4 linked regions of the Lytechinus pictus genome follow. The main gene of each other region encodes a partner of the protein of the gene in region 3 in a complex. Links are inferred from orthologs where the notes say so. Each region holds a gene or a part of one and is shown on either strand. Other genes may lie near its edges. The genes, in order: RNA polymerase I-specific transcription initiation factor RRN3-like, DNA-directed RNA polymerase I subunit RPA49-like, DNA-directed RNA polymerase I subunit RPA12-like and nucleolar transcription factor 1-A-like.

Region 1 (7,860 bases), on a different chromosome or scaffold from region 3:
GGTTCAAAATCACAATATAGTCAACTGAATTATGGGTTAAAATAGGTACTAGAGACAAGAGAGACGGCTCATTTTCATTTTAATTTATGAAACACCGAAATCTTCGCGCTTCGCAAGGGAGGGGGAAACTCCCCCTCCCTGCACCCACCCCCTAGGGAGCGCGCTTCGCGCGCTTTATAGTGTTGACACGCTTCGCGTGCATTTACCGCCCCCTCCAAAATGAAATCCTGGCTACGCGGTTGTCTGACGAAGTCTTATTAAAGACGAAAGCTAAAGCTAAAATGGTATCCTGCGTCATCTTTTTAGTTGGCCTCATCACAATATATATATATATATGTATGTGTGTGTGAGGGTGTGTGTGTGACTGTATATAAAAGAAATATGGTAAATTGTGTCTCCCCCCACTTTTGAGGAGAGATTTCAGCACCCCCACTGAAAAAAAATCGTTCCCAGGGCCTAGCTGTGTGCCCCCCCCCCAAAAAAAAAAAAAAAAAACTTTTATCCAATGACCGACCAAATCAAACGGGCATCCAGTTCCAGTTCGAATTTATCATAAAGTCTGGCATATATTTTATTATAGCTTGGAAATATATTTTTATGATGGTAAAATACATTGCATGGGGACACATACAATTTTGAAAATAAATAAAAGGAACGGTATATCATCCAGGATGGTGCCATCATTATGTAAGGTTGGACAAAACATGAAAATTCTAAAATGCTCACTCAATTAGCTTCTTAATTACAGTCTTGCTAGAATTGATGTATTTCAAGGACTTTCTGTATTTTGAGTATAATGTAAAATAATCATGAGAAAATGTGTAAATTTGTAGGTTCATCAACACCCTGTGCGGTACGTGGCTTGGGAGGGGCCACTTCCATTGACGAGTGGATACCATGCGCGACCACGGGGTTTTGAAAAGCACCCTATACACGTATTTTCCATATTCTCAAAATGCACCCCTTAACAAGTATTGGCGTGTGAAACCTTACCCTTAACAAGTATTAGAAACAAATACTATTGGCAATTATTCCCAGAATTGAGCCCCTAAACAAGTACGGCGATGTATTTTCCATATTCTGAAAGTGGAAACAAAACGATATACTCTTGGCAAGTATTCCCTGAAATGAACCCCTAAACAAGTACAGCGATATTTTATTGTTATGTCACTGGTCCGTCGGTCGTCGGTTTTACCTTTATATACACACCATTATTTTGGTTTAGTCGGCCCCACCTTCCACACCTCGCGCAAATCGGACTCTAAACACGTAGTGTTGGGGCAAAAAGGACATCCTTTATCAAACATTTTTATTTTGTTTTATCATCCCCGCATATTTGACCCTAAACACGTATATATTTCCGCGCGAAATAGATACCCTTTTATTAATATTTTTGTGTTTTTGACACCCTTATCACGTTACGTAAGTAACGTGCCCTATCTTGAAAAAGACATCCTTTTTACGTGTTTTTTTTTGGTCGCGCATGGTATCCACTCGTCAATATAAGTGCCCCCCCCCCCCCGGGGGGGGGGGGGAAGGTGCATGGAATTAGGATCGAAAGCCGACCAGAAGTTTTCAGAGATAGGCCCCTATAGACTTCACATTATTAAAAAGGTTTTACTATATAAATTTTGATGTCCATGGTAAGATTGTATTCTCATCTCTAATTTCCAACAGCGTAGTAAATCGTTCACGCATGGCAGCTAGATAACGAACAATAAATATTGCATGTATTGAGACATATCAGAAACGAGTTGCGCACTAGAAACTCACGTGTGAATCTGAATCCACTCTCATTTGAGGTATCAATGAGAGAAGAATAGAAAGTTCAAGTTCAAGTTTATTTCAAATTCTACAAAAAATACATGTCATCAATGAAGTAACAGAGAGTGTGGGCCCGGAGTGTGGGTAAATAGGGAATCAGCATTAAGTGAAAATTGTAATTGATTATTGTACTAATAATACCAATTATGAGGGAAATTAGTTTTCTGTAAGTATATAGACAAAAAATAAAACTTTCTTTACATATGACCATGTTATTTGGAAGAGTATTGGGAACATATAAGAAGATATATATATGTATATATATATATACATATATATATATATATATATATAATGTGATGATAAGTTTACTCCTACCAATCGCTGTTGAGTTGTGAATATCAAACATACCGAGATAAGGCGAGGCCAACTCAACAGATGACGCAGGACACCATTTTTTGCTTTAGCTTTCGTCTTTTAATTGAGACTTCGTCAGAAGCGTCTGTAATTACAGACTATTGTGATAGTTAAGTATGACCCATAGAGATATATACTAATCTCTATGGTATGACCGTATCCTATCTCGTTCTTTCCTAAAGAACGAGATAGGATACGTTCTGTAATTACGCTAGAACTGATGACGAAGTCTCAATTAAAAGACGAAAGCTAAAGCAAATAATGGTGTCCTGCGTCATCTGTTGAGTTGGCCTCGCCTCATCTCGTTATATATATATATATATATGAAATTGGTGCCGGGAATTGGTGAAAGCCTGACAGTAGCCAGTGGCCACGTTGTATAAGGGGACACCCCCCCCCCCCCCCGGCCCCGCGCGCTATATAGCGCCAGGCCAGCCGACAGGTGTCATAGGCGAATTGGCCCGGGTACCGGCGGTCCAAAACGGCTAGCTTATTAGTACCGCCAGTACAAAACGGCTAGTCGATCGGGCCCGCCTGATCCAAATGACTGGTTCAAATTTTGGCCGAAACGATAGGAGAGCCGCCGTTTGGTTCCACATTTATCAAATCTTTCTAAGGTAGATATTTACTTTGATAAATGTTTCAAAATATATATTTGTGTAATTTTTAATGTAATTTGAATATTATCTTAGAAATAATTATTTCTATATTCTGTTTAAAGCCAAAAAAGGTAATAAATATATTCTATAAATATATGTTTTGATCAAATGTTTCAATATACATATTGGTGTAATTTTTAATGTAATTTTAATATTATCACAGAACCGATTATTTCTATAATTCTGTTTAAAATTAAAAATGTTGGTCTAGATAAGAGGTATTTCAGCTTCGTACGATACTAATTTAGTCTACACTTTTTTGCGCATGCGACATGCGTATATTGCAGCGCTGGACAGTTGACACACGGTACCGTTCCACTTCTCTTTTTTGGAGTAGGAGCTAGTTTTTAAACAATATTTTCCTTTTTTATTATTAACATGGACCGTGATTTTTTTATCTAATGCGAGGACATCTCGCACTACCTTAAGCATGGGGGCTATCTGTTTGCACACAATACCCCTTTTGACATATATTATTCTCTGAAAATTGTGTCAAAATCTATATATCACAAATTATATTTTTATCATAATATGTCAACATTTTGCTCGCTCGCAGCATAGAAAAATTCGTACACCAAGTCGACGCGTCGGTGCCATTATACTTCAATGATCAATGAAAAAAAATGAAAATACATAACTTGTAGCTTAGTATCTCTTATTGCACCAAGCTTTGATGATCGTATAAGCTACGACCAGTTTTGAGTCGTCATAAATAAAATACACCTGTGTGTGTGTGTTTTCTTATGTCAGCACCAATTAAAGCCCCCCCCCCCCTCATTTACACAGGTCAATTTGATGCCCCCTAAGTAATTTAATGTCAATTTGTCCCCCCCCCCCCCAAACATGAATGCGCCCGAGGCCAAACCCCGGGCCAAACATCAAATTGCCGCACAAAGGTCGAACATAATTATGATCAATTCGGCACCTCCTTACAGGTCACACTTCAAATGGTATCCCGGCCACGCTCTTTTATAACCTTTTTAAATCCCCCTTGTCCCCTTGTCCCCCTTCTTTTTTCCTTTTCTCCCCTTTCGGTTTAATCCCCTCTTTCCTTTTCCCCCCTTTTCTCTTTGTTACTTTCTCCCAATTAATTTTGCGATCTGTTCTTCGAATCTCGCTTTTTTTCTCTCCCTTTTATTTTCATCTATCTCCTCCTTTTTGGCACCTCCTTTTTGGACTACCCGGGTTTGTCTCAATGAGGTGTCACTAAGAGTTCCCTGTGTTTTGTGCAGCCTTGATGGACTATTAAGCTTTTAGTTATTTTATTTATATATTTTTTTCTATACTTACTTTGGGGGTTTTGGTGAGCACGCAGCAGTGTTTACCCCCACCCACCCTCAGCACACCAGTCGCCATCCCGTCCTATTTCTTGCCCCGGTTTCTTACTTGAGTAATGAAGACCTAGATCTATACAAAATCGAAGTTCACACCCCAAATATAACAGGCGTGCAAAGGGAGCACTCAGTGTGAATATGGCTTCGTGGCCCGGCCCACACAGCTGTAATCAATCGGAAGTGTGCTAAAATAATGCATAAATTATATATTTCCAAAACATATATACATCTCTATGTCCCAAAATAAGATTCTCAAATCGGCAACTGTAATGTTCTGTCGATATGGTTAATTTGGAGGAGCCAGTTGGTTGAAAAGTGTCAACGTTGAATGAGCGGCGTCTAGGAACAAATCGCCTGGTCGGAACAAATCGGCTATGACGATCGCATCACACAACAATGTTGGAGGTGCCGTGGCCGAGTGGTCTAAGGCGCGTGGCTATACATGGAAAGTCCGGGGTTCGATCCCCGGCCGCGGCACCTATGCCTGTGAGCAAGGTATTTAATCTACAATGCTCTTTTATCCTGCCTTCAAATAAATGGAAATGCTATATGCATTATTGGTAACTCGGTGTGCACTTGTTTAAAAAAAAAATATTCGGAACTAATCGGCGGATAAAAGAGCCACCGATTAGTTCCTCCGGCCCTGAACGGCTGCCCGGCCCAATTCTTCTATGACACCGGCGCGGCCGACGTATACGCGTTATTAGTATACATCTCTATGCCTAGCCTATGGACGTGACTTCGATAGGTCTTTAACTCATGCGCAACATTCCGCGACGAAGTTACAACACGTGTTGAAAGTGAACTAAATGAGGGCTTGTTTTATGACTTTACCATCGACATTGATTCAGTCAGCATTGAATGAGAGTATTCTTTGGATTTCAAGCCGATTGGAAAGTCTCAATAACGCAGTTGATGTAGTTTAGGTGAGTACCGTATGGATGGAACCTGGCATCAAATTGATCAATTCAATCGACAGTACAGTCCCATCTGTGCACTTTTGTGTTGTCATGGTCAGATGTAGACAGCTGGCAGCCGTCTGTTTTGAGCACTCTAGCCTCTAGGCGACACCCCGTGCTAATAAACTGGGACTCCACTCACGCGCGTTTGGGCCTCCCTAGCTTAGAACTAAGCACTAATATCACCTTAAAAACTAAATCTACAAGGTATCTATAATCTATTTACAACTTTAATAATGTTTAATCGGTACTCACCGGTTCTTTTGTTGCATTTTCAGACCATTTCTCACAATTCTTCGTAAATATTTGCGGCAAATTTTGTCGCCATAGACAGCTTAGCATCCATCTTTATTGATAAATGGAGCGCCCTTTACGATAGTTGTTAATGCCGCGGAGAAATCGTTAGGCATTTTGACCTGTGTTCAAGGCGTTCTTTCTGTTTTATTTTTTATATTGAAGATTGTGCATTTGTTGAATAGCGCCGTCTACGTCAGGTATGAGATCGAGTGTATAAATACACTCTTCCAAAATAATTATGATTCCGACCTGGCGCTGTTTAACTTCAATCTCTTTCACCTAAATTAGCGATGAATGCTAGCATTATAAAATATATATTATTAACGTCTGACGAAAAGAATAACCAACCGATCAGCTGACGAGAACGCGAATCACGTGATCTTCATATCAGCTTCGATCGCGAGTCAGAAGAGAAGAGCAGCTGCCCAGAAAATCAGGAAAAAGCCGTGAAAATGTAAGTTCCCCTTCATTTCTTTCATTTTTTGTTGTTGCTAACGATGCATTTACACTATAAAATTATAATTTAAATAAGAGAAAGGAATATAGCTTGTACTTGTGATATAATGTATAAATATCCTGTTCTCAGAGATTTCTAACCAAAAATACTACTGATGTCGCCTATGAGGTCCATACATGTAATGTTGGACCTCATTGGTACTAGGAGTGGTTTTGAGGAGTTTTTAAACATTTTTTTATTTTTTATTTCTCCTCGTATTTGGTGAGTGAAGCCAACGGAGTTCAGCTGAACAACCAACATAACAGAGACCGAAGCTTTTGGTCTAGGTCAGATCAGGGACTCGGTTTTATAATTATAAGGGGAGCAATAAAAAGCTCTCCTAGAACTTTTAAGGAGAGCGGTAGAGGAGCACTTCAAAAAGCTCTTCTTCAACATACAAGGGGAGCTTTTTGCCCAATTAACAAAATGGATGGAGGAAATGTATGTACTATAAAATTACAATCAACAACCAAAGGAAGTATTTATAATTGTTTTACAATGTATTGTAATTAGATTGTGTGTTGTAAAACCTGTTTTAGTTAGGTTTTGACTTTGGCTAAAAGTTAAGTCACTGACAATTTTTTTTTTTTTTCGGGGGCTCCATTTTAATTTTTTTGTCAAATTTCGGGGGCTCTTTTTAAATGCTACTTTTTTGTATTTTGAGGAATACCTGTTCATTTATTAAGGAATTATTACTTTTTGTTTAATATTGTATGATTTTTAAAGTTATTTATCATGTTTACAATCTTGGATGTGGGTGTGTGTGGATGGGTGGGTGTGTGTGTGTGTGTGTGACTGTGAGTTGGACTTGGATATAAATGAATTCAATATCTAATTTCTACTCCATTTATTCCAGTACAATACCCTAGTCAGCCATGTACATGTAATAAAGGCCCACTTACCCTAACTTTTCCTGAAGTTCTTTGAAAACGCAGATCTCCATGAAAATTTAATTTCTCTATGGGGGAGTCTAAATTTGGTGAGAATGTATTCATTAAGAACTTAAATATACATGACAATGAAGAAATCATCAAACTTTATTGGCAGTTTTGAATAATATTCCTGAAATGTAAACTCTGTCTGAAACAGAAAATCACCATCATTGAGGCCTTTACTGAGCGAATTGTCCCCCAGAGCTCTGGCAGAGAGACAGAGCTCCAACTGGCTAGCTAGTAAAAGCGCCAATGCGTGAGCCTGCCGCCGTCCTTGTAAAAAAGATGGAGCTTTGTTTGATGATTTATTGTCTGATATAATACCTCATCCCCTAGAAAAAGAAAACAAATGACTTTTTAGTTATAATTGATAAATTAGATAACTTATTTTGGAAGTTAATAAGCCGTTTTGAAAAGCAAAGCCGAATGACAACTCACCAATGCTAGGTTACTAGACTCTGGGATTTATTTCCTGTGTAATTAGAATTATTTTATCACAGAATTGTGATATCTGTAGGGGAAACATGTGCATTCGAAATGACACACGGTGGTAGTCATAATGGACCCCTATACATGCAACTCTTTCCCGACCGTTGCGTTGATTTTTTTTTCCATACCTGGTACCATGTGTATGGAAATACGTGGTACAGAAAAAATAACGCAACTTCGGAATTTGAAACTGCGCTACTCTCTACTTTTAAGGCTTATTCGTGATTTTGAGTGTGGATTTTGGATGGTTTTTAAATGGTAAGCGGAGCTCGAGCATATGGCACTAGTGGGCCGTTGAGTTGTTATCACTCGGCAATAATTTTGGGGGCGACATTCAGATTTTATGTCGCCCCCGAAAGCATGATTTTGGGTGATTTCGAGGGCGACTTTAGGCATTTTCGCGCAGGTCAGCTATCGCGAGGCGCGCTATTAATCGCGCTACCAAAAATGGATTAAGGCGCGCATGTAGCGCGCGATCGCTCTCGCGCGCCTTAAAATCGAGTCCCTGGTCAG
Region 2 (7,882 bases), on a different chromosome or scaffold from region 3:
CAAGAGTTATGACAAACTTTTGTAAATACTATAATTATCTTTTTTTCATATTAGAAGGATGCACAAGAAAAATATTTCATAATGTATACATCATATTGGTAATAAATATCATTATATGAGAAGTAAGATTTTCTAAATAGAGTCAATGGCGACAATAGTCAAATATGACTAATCGCCACTCAAACCAACATAAGAAGAAGAAGTTCCCAGGGCCCTGGGGGCCATGCACCCTTGGGTCCCGGCGTGGGCCCAGCATCCGAGAGTGTGTAGCAACAACAACAAAAAGAACTCTCTTCAATATTAAGGTAATTTGTGTGTGTCTTTACCACTGGCGTAAATCCGTGTTGATCGGTGGGGGGATGACTGAAATATTTTGGCTTTTTTTGCAATCATGTTTTTAGATATGCAAGGAATTGTCATTGATATGTCCACAGTGGCGTACCGTAGGTCACGGCATTGGGGAGGGGGGCACCAGCAAAATGTTTGAATCACTGAGCTGAGTGAGCGCACTCAGTTGCCAGTTATACTGACCTAATAGAGACATTTTCTGGACAATGTCATTAAACGGATATGTATCTCACTGATCAAATAATGCGAGCGCGAAGCGAGAGCTGAATTTTCTTTATATTCACACCTAAAAAGAGACATTATAATCAAATTTGTGTAATCATGATAGGTACCTGTCTCGCTAAACAATACGAGCGCGAAGCGCGAGCTGAATTTTTCGTATATTTTGACCCCAAACAGCGAGATTTTGAGGAATATATTTTAGGAATCCATTAAGAGTATGCATATCTCACCATAGTCATCTAATGCGAGTGCCAAGCGCTTGCTGGTTTATAAAAATTACATCTGAACTCATGAAACACTTTTTGTAGTCATTGCAATCATGATTATCATACGCATCTTCACTAATCAAATATTGCGAGCGCGAAGCGCGAGCTGAAAATTTATATAATTCAGACCTGAAGTGGGGCATTCTAAGGTTTCTTTGTAGGAATTAACTAGGACCATACGTATTTCAATATCCAAATGATGCGAGCGCGAAGCGCGAGCTGAAAATTTTTGATATTCAGATCAGAAGAAGGGACATTTTAAGGACTGATTTTAAGAATTCATGAAGAGCAGACATATCACACCAATCCACTAATGCGAACGTAATCACGGACAGGAAATGTTTCATATATACGAAGACCTTAACATGGGGAAATCACTTTTTGAGTCATGAAAAAGAAGCAAATGTCACTACATAAAACAATGATAACTCAAGTGCTAGGAAATATATTTGGTTTATATTGACTTGAAAACGGGATGTTTCAGTACAACAGGATTATATATCTCGTTAACAGACAATGCAAGCACCAGGAACAATGAATAAGTAGGCCCTGGGCAAATTATGTTTCATGAAGTTATGATAAAAATGTTTCTTATGTAATGTAACATAACATAATTATAATATAACATTATAATGAATAATATTTTCTTCTTTCTCACTATACGCTTCTCTTACTTTCTCCCTCTTTTCTCATTTTCCCCATTTTTTTTGGTCAGCCAATTGGGGGGGGGGCACGTGCCCCCCATGCCCCCCCCCCCCGTAGTTACGCCATATGGCAAAAACCCCTCCAATATTATTATCTTTTTTAACCCATGATGGTTTAATGGTTTTATTAGAGAATACATTAAAAAAGAATTGACATTGTATCTTAATCCCTTCCCAAAGACCCCAACATTGACGAATTTAAGAAACGGGAGTTCCTCTTCAATGTTATAATAAGGACATAAGTATTTCGTTTGGAAATGGTGAACTGGCTCTTTATTTGCACTTTATGATTCAATAATATTGTTTTATTTGTTAAGCGGTATTTCAGGAAGAATTTTCACCAATAAAACAATTATCTCTTGTGATTTTTTTTTCATTTCTTTCGTGAAAAGTGGGGGGATGTTTGTACAGGCCATCCCCCCTCCTCGAAAAGTGGGGGGGATATATCCCCCCACCCCCCCCCCCCCGGGATTTACGCCAGTGGTCTTTACAATAATATTTAGGCCCTATATCTCTACCAACATGACCAATTACGTCAACAGCCATGAATAGACAAAGTCTTTCATGATTACAAAATTGATTATATTTAAACAAACATTCCCATGATCGTTGCATCGAACATGTCGGAAGGTTCTCTTTACCACGATGAACCAATTGTGATGGCGGCTCAAGTGCTTCCAAGGTCACTGAAGGTATAAAATGTCGTTACTTTTTTCTTCCACATTTTCTTCTGGGGGCGGGAGGTAATAAACTACAACAAAATTGTATTTTCTTCTTAAATGATTTTAAGCAAAGTGAACAATTGTTTGGACAATGGAAGAATTTGGAAATGTCCTACGATCTTATATAGGAACGGGGTTGTGTTCCTATCGGTGTTTTGATATCAAGGTGATAATTTTGCAGATAAGCAAAATTAATGTGTCACCTGATTGGAAATATAAATATTATAGAACAATATTAGCTTATTACTAGAGACTGTGTTTATTTTCTCTCATGAGGTCATGATCATTGATCTAGTCTATATCTTTCGATGTTGATTTCAATTTTCTATAGACCTATGAGGTGTTCGACTCAGTAGCATGGGAACGAGTTTTTTTTCAAGAGGGGTGCTCGTTTGGAAAAAAAATAATTGGAAAAAGGGGGGTTTTCGCTCAAAAAACTTTAAAAGGGGTGATTTTGGTCAGTCAAAGTTTGAACAAGCAAAATGGCAACAACAACAACAACAAAACGCAGAAAAATGAAGGTGATTTAGGTCAATACAGTTTAGCATACCGATTATATTTCCAGGGGGTGCTGCCCAGTGGATGCAAAGCATACGCAGCACCACTAAAAAAAATCACGCACGCTTCCCAGTGCCATATGGTTCAACTATATAATACACATTTTAGAGACTGATCTGCATTAAAAATCGCATTATATTATGCCCATTGATACTTTGCCATCATTTATGGACTCTGTTATCGATATCGTCTTGCTTTTTTCCCCGTATATGTAATATGGTCATTATACCCGAATGGAAAGAAACAATTAAGGGCGTATGCTGGTTTGAGCATCATGGGAGGTGGAACTTTAGTGGTATGGGGGATGCACATCTTGGGGAGGCGGAACTATAAGGTTTTGAAAATCAGCTGTTTAAAGCCGAAGAAAGGGTGCAAATTTCGTTTTGTTTGCCAGTGTCGGAACTCTTCTGCCTCAGCGAGAGGGTGCACCCCACTAGCGTACCTACGGGGGGGGGGCAGTCTGCCCCCCTGACGAGCCACAACCCATGCAAAGGACGTACCCCTGCCCCCCTGACGAGCTTGAAAGACCTTTTTTTGCCCCCCCCCCCCCCTGACGAGCTTGAAGACCTTTATTGCCCCCCTGACGAGCTTGAAGACCTTTTTTTTTTTTTTTTTTTTTTTTGCTTGTCAAATTTTTGGGCGGACGGTTTTGCCCCCCCCCCTGTGGAAAATCCTAGGTACGCCACTGGTGCACCCCTCCCCCAGCCTACTATACGCTCGGCTTGACTCTCACAGTGGAAGAAGGTGGAAGCATTATGATGATCAAAGCGACAAGGATGAGGAAAGAGACGGGGCGATGGCTTGTAACTATTGATTGCTTGATGGATGGATTAAATTCGCCAAGTCCCCTAAACCATGCGATTTTGTGAGATTTTTTTTGGTCCGGGGTATATAGGGGGGGAGTCGGGTTCCTAATGGAATCGGAGGGTAATCGCCCCTTCGATTCTTCAAATGATTAATTGAGGAAGGGGGAAAACTGAAGAAAAAACAAAAGGAGGAAAAATGAACAAAGCATTTATTATGCGCCATCTAAACTATTACGAGACGCAGGAAGGATAAGGAAGAAAACGGAATGATAAGTGCTTTTGTGTAGATATCTTTGACGCCTACTTATTTTTTATTGAGATAATGTCATTTTAGACGACCCTAGAATCCCTTCCCGAAATCTCCTAGCAAAATATCCTGGCGCGGCCCATGATATATGGCCAAATAAGGCTCAGTTTTACATCATATAATTTTGAAAAGTATATTGCACCCTTGTCTAAACTTAAAGTCAATTGGGAACTGAAAGAGATCCCCATTCGGAAATATCTTTGTACCCAATATACCTAGCGATTTCTTGGGCCGAACCCATGAGGAGAGGGCGGCCGGGGGTCACCATGGCCCTGGGAAGCGGGATGAAGCACCCCCAATATTTTCCTTGGGGTGCCACTTTATTATTATCTATAGGTGCAGCACCCCATATATGCTGGAAGGTGTGTAAAAATAATAAAAAATTGTAACCAAAATTTTCCTTTGTTTTTTAGTAAAACCTACTTGTTTATTTTTCATTTTATTTTATTTTTTATTTTTTGCTTTTCAAATTTCTTTGGGTCAAAATGACCTCGTTTTGTAATGAAAACCTTGTTGTTTTTTCTTTTCAAATAAGCATCAGCACCCCTAGTTAAAAAAATCATTGCCATTTTGACAAGAGTTATGAAAAACTTTTGTAAATACTATAATGATTTTTTTTTTCATATTAGAAGGATGCACAAGAAAAATATTTCATAATGTATACATCATATTGGTAATAAATATCATTATATGAGAAGTAAGATTTTCTAAATAAAAAATAAGTCGATGGCGACAATAGTCTAATGTGACTTATCGCCACTCAAACCAACATAAGATGAAGTTCCCAGGGCCCTGGGGGCCATCCTTGGGCCCCGGCGTGGGCCCAGCATCCGAGAGTGTGTAGCAACAACAACATAAAAATTCCCACCATCTGGCATCAAGTGGGGGTGTAGTTGGAGGGTTATTTTCTTTGTTACATTATCTACATTGGTCCCCTAGGAAATGATACCAACCATCACTCAATTCGTCATCTCAGCTATCGAGGCTCCCTGTATAGAAATTTTAATATTTCATTTTCCAAATCGGAGACACCATACTGCTTCAAGATTTTGGTGTTGCGCAATCGCCGAAGTACCTGGGTTGAATTAATTTTATTCGAAGACGAAAATGATGGCCACATGTTCATTTATTTCAAGTGATCAGGAGAAACCAACTCTAGGTTCGTTATTTTTCATCTCATTAAACAAATTATACAAACAATAAGATGCGGTCATGTAGAGCACGTAGATCTAGGGTTAATAGAATATTTACAGACTTTCTATTACTCTGAAGTGAAGAATCAAGCTGATCTGGACTGAAGAAGTCGCGGAGTCTTTGCTTTATATTAGACCCATGTATTGATTATGCTGTAGTGTAGGGCCTACTGCATCGCGGTTCCGTGGCGTGGGGCCCAGGTCCACTGCACTCTAAGCACCAAGGCTATTAATTCCTGTGTTAAAAAAGTGAGTGCACGCGAATTAAATGTTGGACTTAAATTACTAGATCTTACCATGGAGCTCCATGACGAAATCTGTTCTTAAATTAGACTCTAGATATTACTAAATTGAAAAAATGTACTAGGACTAGGAGTGAGTAGGACCCACTCCTAGTAGTACCACTACCAATGAGGTCCAACATTACATGTATGGACCTCATAGGCGACATCAGTAGTATTTTGTGTCAGAAATCTTTGTGAAGATGATTATTTTTGTATTTTATCAAAACTACAAGCTATCGTACTGTCTAATCATTACATTTCGATCTCACTAATTGAATACATTGTTAGCAATAAAAAAAATTGAAAGAAATGAAGGGGAACTTATATTTTCACGGCTTTTTCCTGATTTTCTGGGCAACTGCTCTTCTCTTCTGACTCGCGATCGAAGCTGATATGAAGATCACGTGATTCGCGTTCTCGTCAGCTGATCGGTTGGTTATTCTTTTCGTCAGACGTTAATAATATATATTTTATAATGCTAGCATTCATCGCTAATTTAGGTGAAAGAGATTGAAGTTAAACAGCGCCAGGTCGGAATCATAATTATTTTGGAAGAGTGTATTTATACACTCGATCTCATACCTGACGTAGACGGCGCTATTCAACAAATGCCCAATCTTCAATATAAAAAATAAAACAGAAAGAACGCCTTGAACACAGGCCAAAATGCCTAACGATTTCTTCGCGGCATTAACAACTATCGTAAAGGGCGCTCCATTTATTAATAAAGATGGACGTATAGCTGTCTATGGCGACAAAATTTGCCGCAAATATTTACGAAGAATTGTGAGAAATGGTCTGAAAATGCAACAAAAGAACCGGTGAGTACCGATTAAACATTATCAATTTATTTAATAGAACATATTTAATTACTACAATGTAACAATTTCTAGATAATATTGCTTAGTTCTAAGCTAGGGAGGCCCAAACGCGCGTGAGCGGAGTCCCACTTTATTAGCACGGGTAAGTATTGGGGTGTCGCCTAGAGTGCTAGGACCTATAGTACTCGCGCCTGGTCTTTTCTTGGGGTATTGAATTGAAGCCTTTTTGTCCAGAACTTGCTCAACTTTTGCGGCAAATTTTGTCACCATAGCCTTGTGCACATTCTCGTTTAATACTGGTTGTCACGTGACACGGCAATGTCGTTAGGCTGTTTGGCCTGTACTCAAGGCGTTCTATCCGTTATGATTTTATATTATAAAGTCAAAGAGGGGCCTAAGCTTTCGATCCTAGCAGAATCTTCGTCGGAGGCAAAATGACAAACATATAAAGTGGAACAACCATAATATAGACCACAAACAAGCTACAGCAACACTAGAAACAAGGAGACAAAAGGGGCATTAGTGAGTAGAGAAGACCAATCAGGTTAGTGAAGGGGATGAAAAAAAAGGAGTAGGCAGACACAAAGGGAAGTTAGTGTAAGTAAGGCCAAGAGGGATTAAGATAATGAGGCAGGCAACATCAAACAGGATCTGGAACAAAACAGTGATAGAGGGATGAATAACTAGAGAATTAGTGAGAGGTGGGTCAAACAGGTTACAAAGAAAGGCTTAATAAACTGGTGCATAAGAGTGGGGGGAAAAAAGAAGAAAAAGAATGGGGAACAACTGATAATGTGCAAAAGACATATAATTATATATGATAAAGCATTAAACAAACTAAGAGAAGAAGGTAAGTGTAAATATGTATCTATAAGTGATATGTATATAAATATATCCAAAAAAGAAATGTATATGAAAAAATATATAAATATATACACATATGGTGTAACTGATATGGTAATCCGCTAGGTGTGACGGGAAAAAACATAAGACTATATAGTAGGAAAGAAAAAAAAATCTGTATATGTGAAAAAGAGGAAGCAAATTGCCTAAAAAGGTAAAAGCAAATATAGAAGAGAGGGGGTGTATTATGAAGAAACCATAGTATACATGTAAATAAGCAAATGTGGTAAATCTAAAAGAGGTGAGTGGAGAAAAAACAAATATATATATATATATATAATAATTATTATATCGCCTGAATAAGGAAGGAAAAATTGGAGCTGAGCTTGTATGAGATATGGGAGGAAAGTAGAGTAAGAAACTATAATGTAACTATTCAAAAGAGCTGAGGGGAAAAATTATATGTATATATAAATTGAAAGTGGATAGGAAAGAAAAATCAGTCGTTCCCCTCTTGGATGTTCAGGCCATGAGGTTGGGTGGTGCGAAGTCGTCTCATCCAGAGCTTCTCCCTGCTAGTACGGACTGAGTCAGGACGGGTACCTAAAGATTCGATGCCCTGTAGCATCATGTCAGTGATGGAGTGGTTGGGGAGGTTAAAATGGCGGCCAACTGGAGTGTCCAGCTTTGCTGTGTTGACGGTGGATCTGTGCCCGTAGAATCGTTTCTTGAGTGTGGTCTTGGTTTTATATTGAATGAAGCTAATTCCATCAGGTATAGGCCCCTATCAAGTCAAAATCGATACAGG
Region 3 (7,735 bases):
TTAAACATCATTAGACACTGGCGGATCCAGGGGGGCATGTGCTTTTGAGAACCAAAATCAAAATTTGTAATGTAAAAATGCCATCAAAAGAGAGGTGTGCCCCTCTCAGTTTGAAATGGAAGACCTTTTTTTATTTATTAAAATTTTTTTTGGGGGCTTGTCAAATGTTTACTTCGGGGTCGAAATATCATTAGTTTTTGGTTGAAAACCTTTTTTTTGTGTGTCAAAATTTTCCTCCAAAAGCTTTGCCCCCAGTGGCGTACCTACGGGGGGGGGGCCTGGGGGGCACGTGCCCCCCCCCCCTGAGATTTGGTGTGCCCCCCCGGTGCCCCCCCCCCAGAAAAAATTGGCAGAGCAAAAAAAAAGAAAGAAAAAAAGGGAGAAGAAAAGAAAAAAAGAAAAAGGAAAAGAAGAAGAAAGACAGAAGAAAAAAAGAAAATAAGAGGAGGAAGACGAGTGAATGAAATAATGTAATTAAAAAAACAAATTTTTTTATGTTACTATACGAAATTTTTGCTGGCGCTTCGCGCCAGAATTGCCTGTTCGATGAGATTCATATCTTGCTCAATAGGCTGATATGGAGCAAGTTTTGAAGTCAATATGCAAAACATATTTTAGCTCGACATCGAGCTTTCATTATTTTTTTTTCATTTACAAATTTAAGTAAAATGTCCGTTTTATGGTCTACATATATCAGCATTTTAAGCTCACGCTGCGTGGTCACATTGTTCGATTTGCGAAGTTCATATTGTCTACGTGTATTCCATAATGTTCCATCAAACAAATGTATTCAGAATGCCCAGATTCTAGGTCTACAACACGCGCGATAGCCTGCATGTTCTTTATTTAAAATGTACATGTACTTGAATTATCCAGTATCACATCAGAATATCAATAATTTTATTGTCTGCTCACGCTTCACGATCGCATTATTAATGATACCCAATTGACTATATCCTATTTATGATTTACAAAATATGAATAGAATGTCCCGCTTTTAGGTCTAAAATCTCAATTTTCTTCCTCGATCTCGCGCTTCGCGCTCGCATCAATTGTTTAGTTACATACCTATCCCATTTATTAATACAAAAAGTGCTTAGAATGGCCATTTTTTAGGTCGGAATGTAAAAAAAAAAATTGCTCGCGCTTCGCACTCGCATTATCGAAATATATACCGTCTTCGTGGGTAACTGTAAGCAGTCCTTAACAGTTCCATTTTCGATAATGCTAGAACAGTTGATAAAAATTTCTGTTCGCGCTTGGCGTTCGCAGTAGCCATCTAGTTACATACGAATCTTGTTCAGGATCACACATAACATTGCCCAGAAAATTAAATTTAAAAAAAAAGAAAGTTTTAAAAAAATCGCTCGCGCTTCGCGCTCGCACTTTTTATCAGGCTTATGAGATTATTTCATGTTTATGTTGTTTTATAAGAATAAAACTAAGAAGTGACTGATATAGGTGAAGATAATTTCGGGCCCCGTCCCCTATTGGCGAAAGTCGGATCCGCCCTTGTGACACATACACACACACACACCGGAAAAATGGTCGGTGCCCCCCCCCCCCTGAAAAAGCAAGGACCCCCAAGTGCCCCCCGGGAAAAAAATCCTAGCTACGCCACTGTTTGCCCCCCCCCCCCTTTGGAAAATCCTGGATCCGCCCCTGAACATAGGGACATATATCTCTCTCTCTCGATCTGTTTTGATCCTCCGCTCTTCGGAGATTAGCGATAAATCGCGGTCAATAGCATAGATGGATGAAATCTAGCTCATTAGTTAGCATGAAGAGTACAGGCTATGGGCATGAATTTTATATATTATAATGAAGAGTCATTTTCAGGATGAGGAAGGGAAGGGCCATAAATATATACGGCAAGAGAATGGCGCAAGTAATTTCAAAGGGATCCTGGGTGTTGAGAGTAGGCCTAATTCTTGGAGAGGATTGAAGAGCATCTCGTAAGAGTTTGCTCACTTTGGCCAGAAGATCAGTGCGTATAGATGGAGGGTTGACGGACAAGCAGCAATAACCTGAGTCACTGTATCCTCATCATGGCAGAGAGGACATTTCGAATCAGTTTCTTTCTTGAGTTCGGGTGAGCCGAGTTCGGGTGAGATATGTTGATCAATGTCACAAGTTGTGCTCTGATCATGGAGCTATCTGTAATAGCTCCATGCTCTGATGGTTAAAGGTCAAGTCCACCCCAGAAAAATGATGATTTGAATAAATAGACATAAATCAAATTAGCAACGCGGAAAATTTTATCAAAATCGGATGTAAAATAGGAAAGTTATGACAATTTAAAGTTTCGCTATTTTTCACAAATAGTGATATGCACAACATGCAAATGAGTCAGTCGATGATGTCCCTCACTGTTTCTTTTGTTTTATATTGGGGGTGCTGAGTATTGTCACAGCACCCCCATAATAGATAATCCTCCGTGGCCAGGTCCATGAGTGACAATTAGGACCAACTTGACTGAACCATATATTAAACAATACTAATTCCACATGTTCAGGGCCCGGTTCAGGGAGGAATTAATTGTTGTTTCACTTGACAATCAGGAGAAAATAAGAATATTTCATATCTCATATAATAAAATACAAAAGAAATAGTGAGTGGATGACATCATCAGTCTCCTAATTTGCATATCGACCATGCAGGATGTGCATATAACTGTTTTGTTAAAATGAGCGAAACTTTAAAATGTCATAACTTTCTTTCTGATTTTACATCCAATTTTGATGAAATTTTCAGTGTTATGCTTGTTTAATTTTTCTTTTTTTATTCAAATCAAATTTTTGTTGGGGTGGACTTGTCCTGTAAAGGTCAAGTCCACCCCAGGAAAATGCTGACTTGAATAAATAGAGAAAAGTCAAATAGTGCTAAAAAATTCATCAACATCAGATATGAAATAAGGGAAAGTTATGACATTTTAAAGTTTCGCTTTTTTTCACAAAACGGTGATATGCACAACTAGGTGAGTCAGTTGATGATGTCCATCACTAACTATTTTTATTTTGTTTTTTATTGTTTGAATTATAGGCCTACAATATTTCATTTTTTATAGATTTAACAATAAGGACCAATTTGACTGAACCGTATCAAACAATGCTAATTCCATATGTTTAGAGTGGAATTAATCATTGTATCACTTGTTAATGAGGAGAAAATTAGAATATTTCATATTTCATATAATGAAATACAAAAGAAAAAGTGAGTGGATGACATCATAGTGTCCTCATTTGCATACCAGCCAGGATGTGCATAGGCCTATAACTGTTTTGTGAAATTAAGCGAAACCTTAAAATGTCATAACTTTCTTATTTTACATCCGATTTTGATGAAATTTTCAGAGTTATGCTTGTTGGATTTTTCTCTTTTTATCCAAATCAACGTTTTGTTGGGGTGGACTTGTCCTTTAATGATTGTCTGATAATAGTTGACAGGCGCGGATCCAGGAGGGGGCCGAGCCGGCCCCGGCCCCCCTATTTTTTGACAACCTGCAGAAAAAATGTACTCCAACTTGATAGAAACTATGAAAAACAGAAAGAAAAGTAAGAAAGAGGTATTATACCCATGATGTGTAATTCACAGCATCGTAACAGCCGGCCCGACCCCGAAAGGAAACAAGAAAAAGGTGAGGGGAAGAATTGGAAAATAGACTTTATATAAAAAAATCGCTGGCGCTTCGCGCTCGCATTGCCTGTGTAATGAATCCCATTCAAGAGGATTAAATGGCACTTAATATATCCAGTTCTGAAATCAATTTGCACACGATATTTTAGCTCGCACATCAAGCTTTCATTATTTTGTTTGATTTACACAAATTGTTAATTAATACCAAAATTTTTAGCTCGCTATGCGCGCTTGCATAGTTTGATTTGTGAGATACTTATCCTCTTTGGAAATTCTTACCAAAATTTGTAAAAATACTCCTGTATCATGTCAGTATATCAAAAAATTAAGCTCGTGCTTCGCGCACGCATTTAATTGTTTTAGACACACAGCTTTAATTGTTCTTTATTTTAATAAAAATGCGCTTAGACAGTCCAGTTCTCAGGTCGGAATATCAAAATTTTTTAGCTCGCGCTTCACACTCTCATTATTTAATTGGTGATACTTGTATCCTCTTCATTAATCACTAAAAACTATCGAGTCCCTTTTCACGTTACTATAATAAAATTTCGGCTCGCGCTTCGCGCTCGCATTGTTTAGTTGGATAATATTGCATTGTTAAATTGAACATATCTTTGTTCATGATTACAAAAACTGCTCAGAATCTTCAGGTCTAAGGACATAAGATATCAAAGAATTTGAGCTCGCGCTTCGCACTCGCATTATATATTAATACCACATGAGATATCTTGTTTATAACAATAAAAACTAACATATACTTAAAACTTCAGTCTTTAGTTCGGACTACCCACCAATATTTTTCGGTCCCCCCCCCCCCCCCCCTATTGGCGAAAGCTGGATCCGCCCCTGGTTGATGGAGGATCCCAAGATGGGGTAGAGATTCTTAAGGTTGATAGTTTTCCCATGCCAGAATTTGTGATAGATGCACCATCTAGTGTACGTAGTTCGTTTGCTCAGCAGAAAGAGAGATTGAGTTCTTCACCTTCCGTTTCCATGAGTTGTAGGGAAAGTTTCTCCTAGATCTAATTAAATATTAGTACAAATCTCTTTAACCTTACGACCACGCCCACATTAAACGTGAAAATTCGTATCCGATGTATATTTTCATTACCACGCGGTACGGTATCAATTGGATGAAGGATGGATACTGGAACAACTTTTTCTGTTGCCAAGGAAATCTGTCCGAAATGTGGCACAGTTTTACCTTTTCCAAAGCGTGGCACATTAGACGTCTTTTGTAAAATTTGTGACTTTAAAACTAATGCTACAGGTAAGTTGAAGACGGCAAACGTACGTTGACCCGCTGCTCTGTCTGAGTCGAGTCTGAAGACGTATCTGCTGGCTGCCTGCGTCTGCCGGGCAGCCGGGGCACTCCGCCCAGGGAGCTCCGGCCCGCGCCCGCTTAGCGGGCTGGAGCTCTCTGGGTTAGGCTTGTTATAGCGACCCACTAGCTCTAGAGTCTAGCGAAGCGATCAGCGCGGTGAAGCTTGTTCTTGTTTTGGAAACTACCCACAACGAACAACAACATTCATGGGCCCAGCTACCTCGAGCGAAGTTCGTGCAGTCTCCACTTCACTACCGCTACACTAGTACAATCCACCTACCCGAACTTCGAGACGGTGAACCAGTTCGGATATACTGAGTCACAAAGGTGGGGATGGTAATCATGTTTATCGTAAAAATTAAAGAAAAAAAAAAAAAAATTTTATAACAAGAAAGATGAATAACTTAATATCTTACTCTACACCCGTATTTCACTCCGTTTCCATCCTCCGGTTATCCTCAAAATTGGTGATTTTGGGTCAGTATCTATTCCCTTACACGTATTATTCACGGCCGATTTAAAAACATCGCATGCGATCGCGATCGGCCGCAGGTCAAGGCCGATCGCATGCGATGTTTTTAAATCGGCCGTGAATAATACGTGTAAGGGAATAGATACTGACCCAAAATCACCAATTTTGAGGATAACCGGAGGATGGAAACGGAGTGAAATACGGGTGTAGAGAGACCGAAGTTTTAACTCAATTTGTACAGGGACTGTGTGTGTATTTGAGTTTTGTCAGACGTGTATCAATCAGATATGATTATTTACGTCTGGGACCGACCTTTCGTCACCATCTGAAATACGTGACACAGGTCCGAACCTCTGCATCAATTTGTAACTTCCCCACAGCTTGGATTACAGGGGCACGCCACAACGCCCACTCAAATGTTTATGTGTTAAGTTTGGATAAACAAGGGAAGTGGGAGTTGCGCGACAGCCGTAGTAAGTCACTGTTTTTTCCCCTTTAAAGTTTATTTTTTCCTGTTTTGATGCATTTCAGGCCAAAACCGAATGATAATCTTTATTTTGGTCCAGTTCTTTTTATATACAGTACTTTTATGAAATACAATAATCGATGAGCCTCATCGGGGGGATTTTGCATTATTAACCCCCTAATGGTGGCTGCACGATTGCGAGGAAATCACGAGGAGAAATAAATAAAATAAAAATGTTAAAAAACTCCTCGAAACAGACGGCTGCCAGCTGCGGTCTACCATCACATTTAAGAGCGGCATCTACGTCAACAAAAAGTGCCATATTTTAAAAATCTAGATCTAGCAATTACACCTACAGTGTTGGACTGGATCTTATGCTTTGTGGTAATATGTTCCATTCTTTAATCAAGCTATCACAAATGAATTCAAAGCAGTTCTTGCAAACGGTTGATGGATAAGATTTCTCTGACGTGTATTATACGTATGAATCCTGGAGTTAACAACAAAAGCATCTGATAAAAATGACAAATTTTGAGTCGATTGTGATTTGTACATGGATATCAAACAGTTCAAGGATATTAAATCATAAAGAGGCAGAATGTTGAGCTGCAGAAATAAAGGAATACAGGGACTTCTGTAATTCAAATATGTAATGAGTCTGATAACTTTCTTTTGAAGGATCAGTATAGTTTGTTTAAATGATTCCTATTTCCCCACGCATCATTACAATAAATTAAGTAAGGCACAATGATGGAGTTACTAAAGTTTGTTTGGGTAAAAAGAAACGCAACATATATCACGGCAACACTCTGAAATCTTGGTACAAACATTGCTGACCTGATTTTTCCATGATAAATGATCATCTCCAACTCCTAGAAACCGCACATCTTGACTATGATTAATCTAATCATTCTGATGACCTATTGATAATGAATCTATATATCAGGCATTCTTCTACCCCTTGTTCTAAATACAACATATTGTGTTTTACTAGCGTTTAATAAAAGCTTTTTACAGCAAAACCATTTAAATATATTTTGAACTTCAATATCTGTCGACAATATAAGATTATGCATACCTTTGTGATAGGAGAGTAAGCAAGTGTCATCAGCAAAAAGTGAATATGTAAACAACTATGATGAATTTGTAATGTCATTGATATAAATCAAGAACAATAAGGGACCCAAGAATCAACCTCGGGGTACCCCATAATTCACCTTCCTAGATTGTGATTTAACTCCATTGATCATTACTTAACTGTAATCTATTCTTTAAGTAATTTTCAAACCAATTTAAGGCTACCCCATGAATGCCATAATGCTCAAGCTTGTTTAATATTATCATGATCCATAGTGTCCAATGCCTTCGATAAATCTAAAAACACACCCATACAATTCTTTGGAAAGCCAATTTGTTGTGGGATCATGTTAGATCCATCTATTGACACAATTTGTTTTTCAGTGACCTAGGCTAAGACGTGCCAATTCCATTAGGTGATAGCCATAATAACTTGAAGCCCTATTTATTTTCCAAGTAGGACTAGGCCTAATGTTAGTCTATAATGAATAAACATCAGATGTATTTGCTTAGACCGAAAAATCAGTCTATTTCTTTCAGGGATATGCTCTGCGGCATCCCCTCCGTCTGTGTAGGAGGAGGACAAAAAAAAAATCATTTTCTTTTAAAGAACTCAGAAAAAACAGCGGATATATCAGTCCAGTATTTGCTCAACTCTGCACACCTCCGCTCTGCTCTGCTAAGTGAGCTCATGTGTGTAATGTAAATTCTTTTAAGATGTCCGATAATTTTTAGGAGAGTGCCTTATTTAGAAAGGTGT
Region 4 (7,793 bases), on a different chromosome or scaffold from region 3:
GGGCATATAAAAAAAAGTTCAGGAAAAGTTATATTACTAGGTATGAAGCTTAGATTAGGCGGGAGATTAGAACATTATTTTTCAAACATTGTTATGATTTTAAAATGATAAAAAAATCCCCTAAAATAACAATACAGTCTACATCTACCTTTAGCTTAAAACATTTTATTTGTAGTAACATCTTTAAAAATCAATTTCAGAACAAAACTAGAAATTTGATGTGTCCAGAGGACACAGATGCCCCTGCTTAACATGATCAGAAATTCATTCAATATGATTGAACTTAATATTGTGCAAAAAAAAAATTGGAAAAAAATAATGAACAAATTTAGACCTTTGACCTGAAGACTCACCCTTTCCATAATAATCTCTCACAGAAGATATGACAGTCAGGTCATTTGATGTGACCTATCTTTTGGTGTCATCTACCCAGACACGTAACATTTTTAATATCTGGTGAATATTTCCAAAGTTATCATGAGGAAACCAACTCGCATATATAATGAGCTGTGACCTATTGAATTGAATTGGTATGGTTTATTGAAAGAAAAAAAATCAAACAGGCAGCTCACAGGCTGAAAATGTTCAATTTACAAGCAAAAAATCAACAGATATAGTATAATTATACAACGGTAGAGATAAAACATAAATTGAATTAACATTGATAAAATGTCAAATGCAATTGATAGAAATGACAATAAATTGATTCGAACATAGCCTGTATTTTGGTGTCATCTACCTACACACCCTAATTTTTTAAAAATCTGTTGAATACTTCATAAGGTGGAAACAAACTTGCATATTTAATGAGCTGTGACCTTTGACCTGCGGACTCAGAATTCAAACTTAGCCTGGCTGTATTTTGGTGTCATCTACCTACACACCAAATTTTTTAAAAATCCATTAAATACTTTTTGAGTTATTGCGCAGAAACCAAGTGGGGGACGGACGGACGGGGGCAATGCTTAATGCCCCTCCAGACTTCGTCTGCGGGGGCATAAAAAAGTAAAGGAAAAGTGATATTACTAGGTCTCTGCCAAACTTTGTTCAGGTGAGACAAAAAATGAAGCTTAGATTAGGCAGGAGATTAGAACATTATTTTTCAAACATCGTTATGATTTTACAATGAAAAAAAATCCCCCAAAATAACAATACAGTCTACATTTACCTTTAGCTTAAAAGCAACATCTTTAAAAATAAATTTCTAAAACAAAACCACAAAAGACAAAGTAAATTGGACATGTTGAATGAATTATTTTATTCTAGACTAAGCCTAGATCTTTATTTCAATTATTATGACATAATTTAACCCCCCCCCAAAAAAAAAACATCAAGTTTATATATCATGATGATGATCTGTATTTAAAAAAGGGGGAGGCCAAAATTCAAGTAGATCTAATGATCACTCCAGTGATGCATTTGAAGTTTGAATTGAAGCAAAGCAATAGAATTGAAGTTGATTGTAGTTTCTACCTCAGTTAGACCCTGCTCAAAGAATAAATAATGGTTTTGCCCACAAAACGGGGGGTTGACTGCCAGAACGGTACCACAACGCACCGCCCGACGACGGAGGAGGAGCCGATGAATGAATGGGCAGTACAGGGTCTACTGACCACAAAATATTTCTTACTGGTCACTTCCAACAAACAATGTCAAAACCTAACGAATAGAGCACTACAAAATCGCTCCAACAATACCTAAAATCTTAACTAGCGATAGTATTCGAGAGTCAAAGGCAAAGCTGAAAGTAAACATTCTGAAAATGAGAACATTCGCGAACAACGTCACGTACCGGTATGAGAAAATACCACACGACATTCACAAGGATATTCTGTTCACGTCATAGCCGCGCCATCGCACGAGAGTAAGCCCCGCCCGCCCGGGGGCTGCTACTCCCTGGCATTGAAAATAAGAACGGCAGCGACATGGCTGACAAACAAGCTCGTTCGATAATGCGGCGACCATGCCGCAGCACTGCGGGCTTTTCAGCTCAGCCCGTTACACAGGGATGCCCGGGAATTTGATCAAGTCACGGGTTTCACGACTCGCCAGCGTGGGGCGACGTCCGCGCCGCTACACACGCGGCGTGCGTCAATCAAACTTGCTGGCTCATTAACAAATTCATGGAAGAACATCAATATTTGCAAGTCTTAATCTCAACATGCTCAAAATATTAAGAAACAGCAACAATTACTGATGGATACATAACTACCATAGATATGATTAGAATATAAACAAATTGTAATTTCTGATAAAATTAACAGAAAACGGTCTATTTCCATACCGGAACTTCGACGCACAAAAGCTGATGAGCGGATTCCTATGCTAACATACCCGAGACTTACCCGGCCATCTTGATTGCTGAATCGGCTAATAAAATCGCATATAACATAAAAATGACGAAATATTTCTAAGAGGGAATGTAGCGAAAATGACCTCACAAATATGAACTACAATCTGGTAATAATGAAGTAAATATATTTCACAAACACACGCAAAAATACGGAATTAAAATGTCCACTTACTTTCAGCGTCCATGATGGCTGTCTCTAGAACTTCTTGATTCGCCCCAACGCTCTCGGGTCCCGACCCGCTTCCTCCGCGCCCGCTATCCAGCGCGGTGTCTATCGGCTGCATAGGCGCCAGGATCATCACGGTACGCACCGAGAACAAAAAATAGTACCCTTGAAAAAATTATATAATAACAAATCTAATGAGTGTTTATGACTTTGGGTAGTTATTGACTTAATTAATTCCACATCACTGATTTCACACACAAAGATCTTCGGCTGGCAGAGTTCAATATTTAATTTTGATCCCCTCGGCTAGCTTTACTCACGTGGACTATATTAATTAGGCCGCTATCTACAACCTCGTTCACGAATATTGTTTTGATTTATATTTAAAACACGGCATGCACAACGCAGCCCGTCAACTAATGTTTCAATCGGAGTGACCAAGGATGACACTCTTGTTTACGAAATCGATCAGTAAACACGCAACGACCAATAGAATCTCAAAGATTTACATAAATTATCATAAATCATTCAAGCGAATGTGACGTACACAAGATCGCGCATTTACATCGTTTGTCGTTGATAAGCAGCCGCACCACCGCCTAACCATCAGGCAGGCGTCAGGCTAGGCCAGGCGGGCAAACCATGAGACTCGTGATATCTGCCCGCCTCAACTGCCCGCGCCAAAAATCGAGGGAGTGCGATAAGAGGTCAACCAACGTCATGTCATACGAGCAGCAGGGTCGTCTGCTACGCACCCTAAATGGAAAACGTTGTCAGAATTTACCGTAGAGATCTAACTTACTATATGCTTAACGTTAGTTATTTCTAAATCCTACGTAGGACGGTCTGGTACATGTTTAACTTTTTTCAGTTCTGAAATAAAACATGCTAATTCCCTTACATAAAAAAAACCTCCATTCAGTTGAGCTGCGCTTGTGAGGAGCGCATCGCATCATGCAGCTAGCCTGCACTGTCGATGTCGAGCTGTCCCACTCCCAGCTGGTGCCTACTTCAGTACTGTACGTATACAGGCATGCAGCTGCAGTGACAGTGCAGAACCAACAATACACTAACAGTTCGAGCACTGTACGGTATCCCCTGACCCTTGGACAGGAGCGCGAGCGAGCAGGGAGCGCCCTTGGACTTGTTGTAGTGGCGAAAGGGAGGAGGGACCCATCTTAGCTTTCCTGGGAATGGGCACGGCTTGGCCTTGCCAGGCGGACCGCCTGGCCCTGGACGTCGGACTGACTGATGATCGCCGGCCTAAGCCGAGGCTAAGTAAGGGCTTAAGCAGAAGAAGGCAAGACATTTCACGATAACTGCCTGGATAATAAATAAGATAAGATATCTAAATTGTGAAGTGTGATCTAAAAACTTCTGGAGTTTTGCTGGACAAGGACATGAAGAACTCTGGAACTGGAAGTGAGATGAAGGAGGTTAACTTCTCTTTGTTGAAGCAGGATGAGGATTCTGATGATCTCCTTTATGACTCTGTCAATTCTCTTGAAATTGATCAACTGAATCTATCAGGTATGCTCTAACTTTTTTCAAGAATATGTTAACAATAACATTTTTTATGCTACATCTGAATGGCTTGTGCCATCACACTGGGTTATCGCGTCGGGTCGGGCAATCGCGAAACATGACCATGCGAGGAAACTGCCCCATTCGAGAAAAGGGCCCCCTAACTTTCCGAAAGGTTCGGTCCAATTTACCCGATGTTTTGTGAAAACTGAAAACTTTTTGAATGGTTGGGTATTTATATGTACTTGGGTTTAAACTGACCCGACATTTCAGGAATTTAAGGGGGCCTTTATTGAATGGTTGGGTATACTTGATTGCCTGACCCGATGCGATAACCCAATGTGATGGCCCCAGGGGACCGGGGGACCACTTCCATTGACAAGTGGATACCCCTTCCATTGACAAGTGGATACCCTGCGCGACCATGTCCATGGTGTCTCGAAAAGCACCCTATAGAAGTTTTAGAAGTTGTGATTAGCTTTGCAATTGATACCATTGGAAAGAGGAACTCTTCCAGCTCTCAGAAAACTTTGAATTTTGAAAATTGACCCAATGATTTGTTAGTTATGCCCAATTATGTTTCGGCAATTGGACATGATATACCAAAGGTCAAAGGTCAAAGGTCATTCTTTTATTTTACTTTGTTGTGAGAATGGCACCATGAAAAACATGACATGTTTTCAAACTTGTGTTATTCCCATGTTTTTTGTATTACAGGTATGAAACTTGGCAGGATGCTAGTAGATTTTGCTTTGATGTATTTTTTTGCATGCCCAGGTCAAAAAACCAGTTAAGGACCAGTTCATCCAACTGGTACTGGTACCAGTTGATTCCAGTTAGCGAACTGGATTCAATATGGAAATTGGAATACTGGAATCAACTGGAATCCAGTTGACAAATTGTAACTGGTACCAGTTGGAAATACCAGTTGGCAACTGGTCCTAACTGGTACCAGTTAGCAACTGGTACCAGTTGACAACTGGTCCTAACTGGTACCAGTTAGGACCAGTTGGAAACATGAGTTGTCAACTGGTGCCAGTTAAAACCAGTTGGAAACACCAATTGTAAACTGGTGCCAGTTAGGACCAGTTGGAAACATGAGTTGTCAACTGGTGCCAGTTAAAACCAGTTGGAAACACAAATTGTCAACTGGTGCCAGTTAGAAACATGAGGTGTCAACTGGTGCCAGTTAAAACCAGTTGGAAACACCAATTGTCAACTGGTGCCAGTTAGGACCAGTTGGAAACATGAGTTGTCAACTGGTGCCAGTTAAAACCAGTTGGAAACACCAGTTGTCAACTGGTGCCAGTTAGAACAAGTTGGAAGCACCAGTTAGGACCAGTTGGAAACATAAATTGTCAAGTGGTACCAGTTAGAAACACCCTGCAATGTATAGCATAAACAAAAATGAATCATGTGGATATGTACATTCCCGATCTTTTACTCTTCTCATATAATCACTCCTTCGTTTTCCTTGCGCACACACACATTAGAATATTGGTACCAACACCCCCCCCCCCCCTCTCAGGCGGTTATTTCAATTATAAATTATCTTCAATTATCTTTACATTGAATGTCCACTCCTGTTATAACAATGTGCATGGACAAGTGAAATAATTATTCTTGCACATAGGACTGATGAAATGAATCAAGGTAAATTTGTAGCATTGTATTGAAACCTTGTTAATTTCCACATGCACAATATAACAGGATTGGACTGTAAACTTGCTCTGGTAAATCAATCCCTCAGTCTCTTGAAATCTGTACCAAAAATCATCAGAGAATGACAAAAGTCACAAAAAACATATATATGGTATTTAAACTAGGAATTTAATGAAAGAAAATTATGTTACAAACTGTAACATGCTGTGTATAATTCTTGTATTATGTGTCAACAAAGATCATTAACTTACACAGTAAATATGTAGTCAATCCAATTTTTACATGCTAGCTTGGAGACAAAATTTGAATATAATGCATCTAAGCATTTACCTTCAATAAATAATATGTACTATTTTTAAAGGAATGATAAAGGAGTCTTTTTTTAATTATTATTTATTGAGATCTTGGGGCCCTCACTGGCTCTGAAGAGGAAACGTGAAACAGGTACCTTCCTTTCCTGTAGTGGCACTTGATCTTTGCTGGTAGATGCGATGTATCTGAAGATTAGAAAAAAAAACAATGGAATGAAAAATAATAAGTACAGTGAATACCGTAATACAAAATTTCAGTGGTGTAAAATTATATCTGCACATAAAGAAAATACATGGGATAGTGAAACTTCTCTAAGTTCCATATTTCAATGATTCAATTATAAATGATAGACAGCACATCATCATTTTTATTACAACATGTATAGTAAGTTCACATGGTCTTGGGAATACTTCTGAAATTGACATCGCAGAGATGAAATTGCCTCGACCTTATACCTATACATTTATTTTAATAATAAAGACTTAGACTATGTATGTTTGCATATATGTATCTAGGAGTCTATGTTGCACATTATCTGCTAACATCTGATGGGTATTTCATGATTGTCAGTGCCGACTATTTCAGTGAAATCATTGCTTTTGATTGGCTGAGAAGCACTGGCCTCTGACTGTTACTATGGTAACTGTCGGAAAAAGACAACTTGTTAATGCTGACAACTTTCAAAAAGCAGTTCCCAGAACAAGTTTAAAAAGCAAAATGATGAAAATTTCATCAAAATAGGATAACAAGAAGTTATTGAATTTTAAAGTTTATCAATATTTTGTGAAAACAGTTGTATGCACTTCGTCATGAATATTCATTAGGTGGGCTGATGTCACATCTCCACTTTCCTTTTTTTTATGTTACTAGATGAAATCATAAATGTTTGATTTTTTCATACATGTGTAAATGATGCGTCTCCATTGTAATGAAATAAGTTGCGTCAATAACTAATGCACCTTATCAGTTGTCAATCCAATTGTCAATAGTTCTTGGTTAAAAATATCTTAATAAACCTAATCTCATATAATAAAATACAAAAGGGCAATTGGGATATGACATCATCAGCCAACCTAATGAATATTCATAAACATGATAAAGACATGCCTAGAACTATTTCACCGGAATAATGCAAATCTTTAAAATTCAAAACCTTAATTAGTTATCAAATTTTGATCAAGTTTTCAGCATTTTGCTCTGTGAATTTTACTCTATTTATTGAGATATGTTTCCAGCCTGGACCATCCCTTTAATTCTACTTCTACGGTACCCCCACACATACTGGTAAGTCAGAGGTAAAAAACAACGAGAACCAATTTAATTTCAAAGATAAAAAAATACTTCGGCCTCCAGATTTAAGAAAAAATTCAGGAAATGTTATTTTAGTTCAGACTAATTGTGCACGTTTCATTTTGGAGGTCAATCTGAAATTATACTTCCAGTTCCAAATTCACGCCATTTGGTTATGCAAAAGCATGAATTAAAATTGATGGGCATGGGCCCATGTCACTGGCTAGCCTAGAGGACTCCATGAAGATAATTTTATCATTTTTACATTGTATTTTCATCACGGAGCCTAGACAAGCCTCCTATAAGGTTGCTCGTACAACTGTGTAAACAAAGATAGATTTCCCTCGGAAATCCACCTTTCCCATAATGATTTTTGGGCAAACATTAAATTTTTACATTTTGTAAGCCTTGATACTCTAAATGTGTACAAAGGCTTAAAAAAAAATTAATTGTAAAATGTACAAATTGGAAATTTTCTTACAAAAA

Evidence for each region.
Region 1: DNA-directed RNA polymerase I subunit RPA12-like (region 3) and RNA polymerase I-specific transcription initiation factor RRN3-like share a complex: the UniProt entries of both Homo sapiens proteins name them as parts of the pol I pre-initiation complex. The link is inferred for Lytechinus pictus from reciprocal best matches to the Homo sapiens genes POLR1H and RRN3.
Region 2: DNA-directed RNA polymerase I subunit RPA12-like (region 3) and DNA-directed RNA polymerase I subunit RPA49-like share a complex: the UniProt entries of both Homo sapiens proteins name them as parts of the RNA polymerase I (Pol I) complex. The link is inferred for Lytechinus pictus from reciprocal best matches to the Homo sapiens genes POLR1H and POLR1E.
Region 4: DNA-directed RNA polymerase I subunit RPA12-like (region 3) and nucleolar transcription factor 1-A-like share a complex: the UniProt entries of both Homo sapiens proteins name them as parts of the pol I pre-initiation complex. The link is inferred for Lytechinus pictus from reciprocal best matches to the Homo sapiens genes POLR1H and UBTF.

What each region holds. Positions count from the first base shown.
Region 1 is NC_087254.1:4,772,497-4,780,356, forward strand, and holds the start of RNA polymerase I-specific transcription initiation factor RRN3-like, read left to right. Parts: upstream 1-4,847; 5' UTR 4,848-5,100; intron 5,101-7,860. UniProt on the Homo sapiens protein: Required for efficient transcription initiation by RNA polymerase I (Pol I). Required for the formation of the competent pre-initiation complex (PIC).
Region 2 is NC_087245.1:24,111,711-24,119,592, forward strand, and holds the start of DNA-directed RNA polymerase I subunit RPA49-like, read left to right. Parts: upstream 1-4,872; 5' UTR 4,873-5,040; coding exon 5,041-5,092; intron 5,093-7,882. UniProt on the Homo sapiens protein: Component of RNA polymerase I (Pol I), a DNA-dependent RNA polymerase which synthesizes ribosomal RNA precursors using the four ribonucleoside triphosphates as substrates.
Region 3 is NC_087259.1:27,112,580-27,120,314, reverse strand, and holds the start of DNA-directed RNA polymerase I subunit RPA12-like, read left to right. Parts: upstream 1-4,723; 5' UTR 4,724-4,776; coding exon 4,777-4,906; exon of another isoform or gene 4,907-4,986; intron 4,987-7,735. UniProt on the Homo sapiens protein: Core component of RNA polymerase I (Pol I), a DNA-dependent RNA polymerase which synthesizes ribosomal RNA precursors using the four ribonucleoside triphosphates as substrates. Can mediate Pol I proofreading of the nascent RNA transcript.
Region 4 is NC_087245.1:35,362,844-35,370,636, forward strand, and holds the start of nucleolar transcription factor 1-A-like, read right to left. Parts: upstream 3,011-7,793; 5' UTR 2,653-3,010; coding exon 2,526-2,652; intron 2,003-2,525; exon of another isoform or gene 1,793-2,002; intron 1-1,792. UniProt on the Homo sapiens protein: Recognizes the ribosomal RNA gene promoter and activates transcription mediated by RNA polymerase I (Pol I) through cooperative interactions with the transcription factor SL1/TIF-IB complex.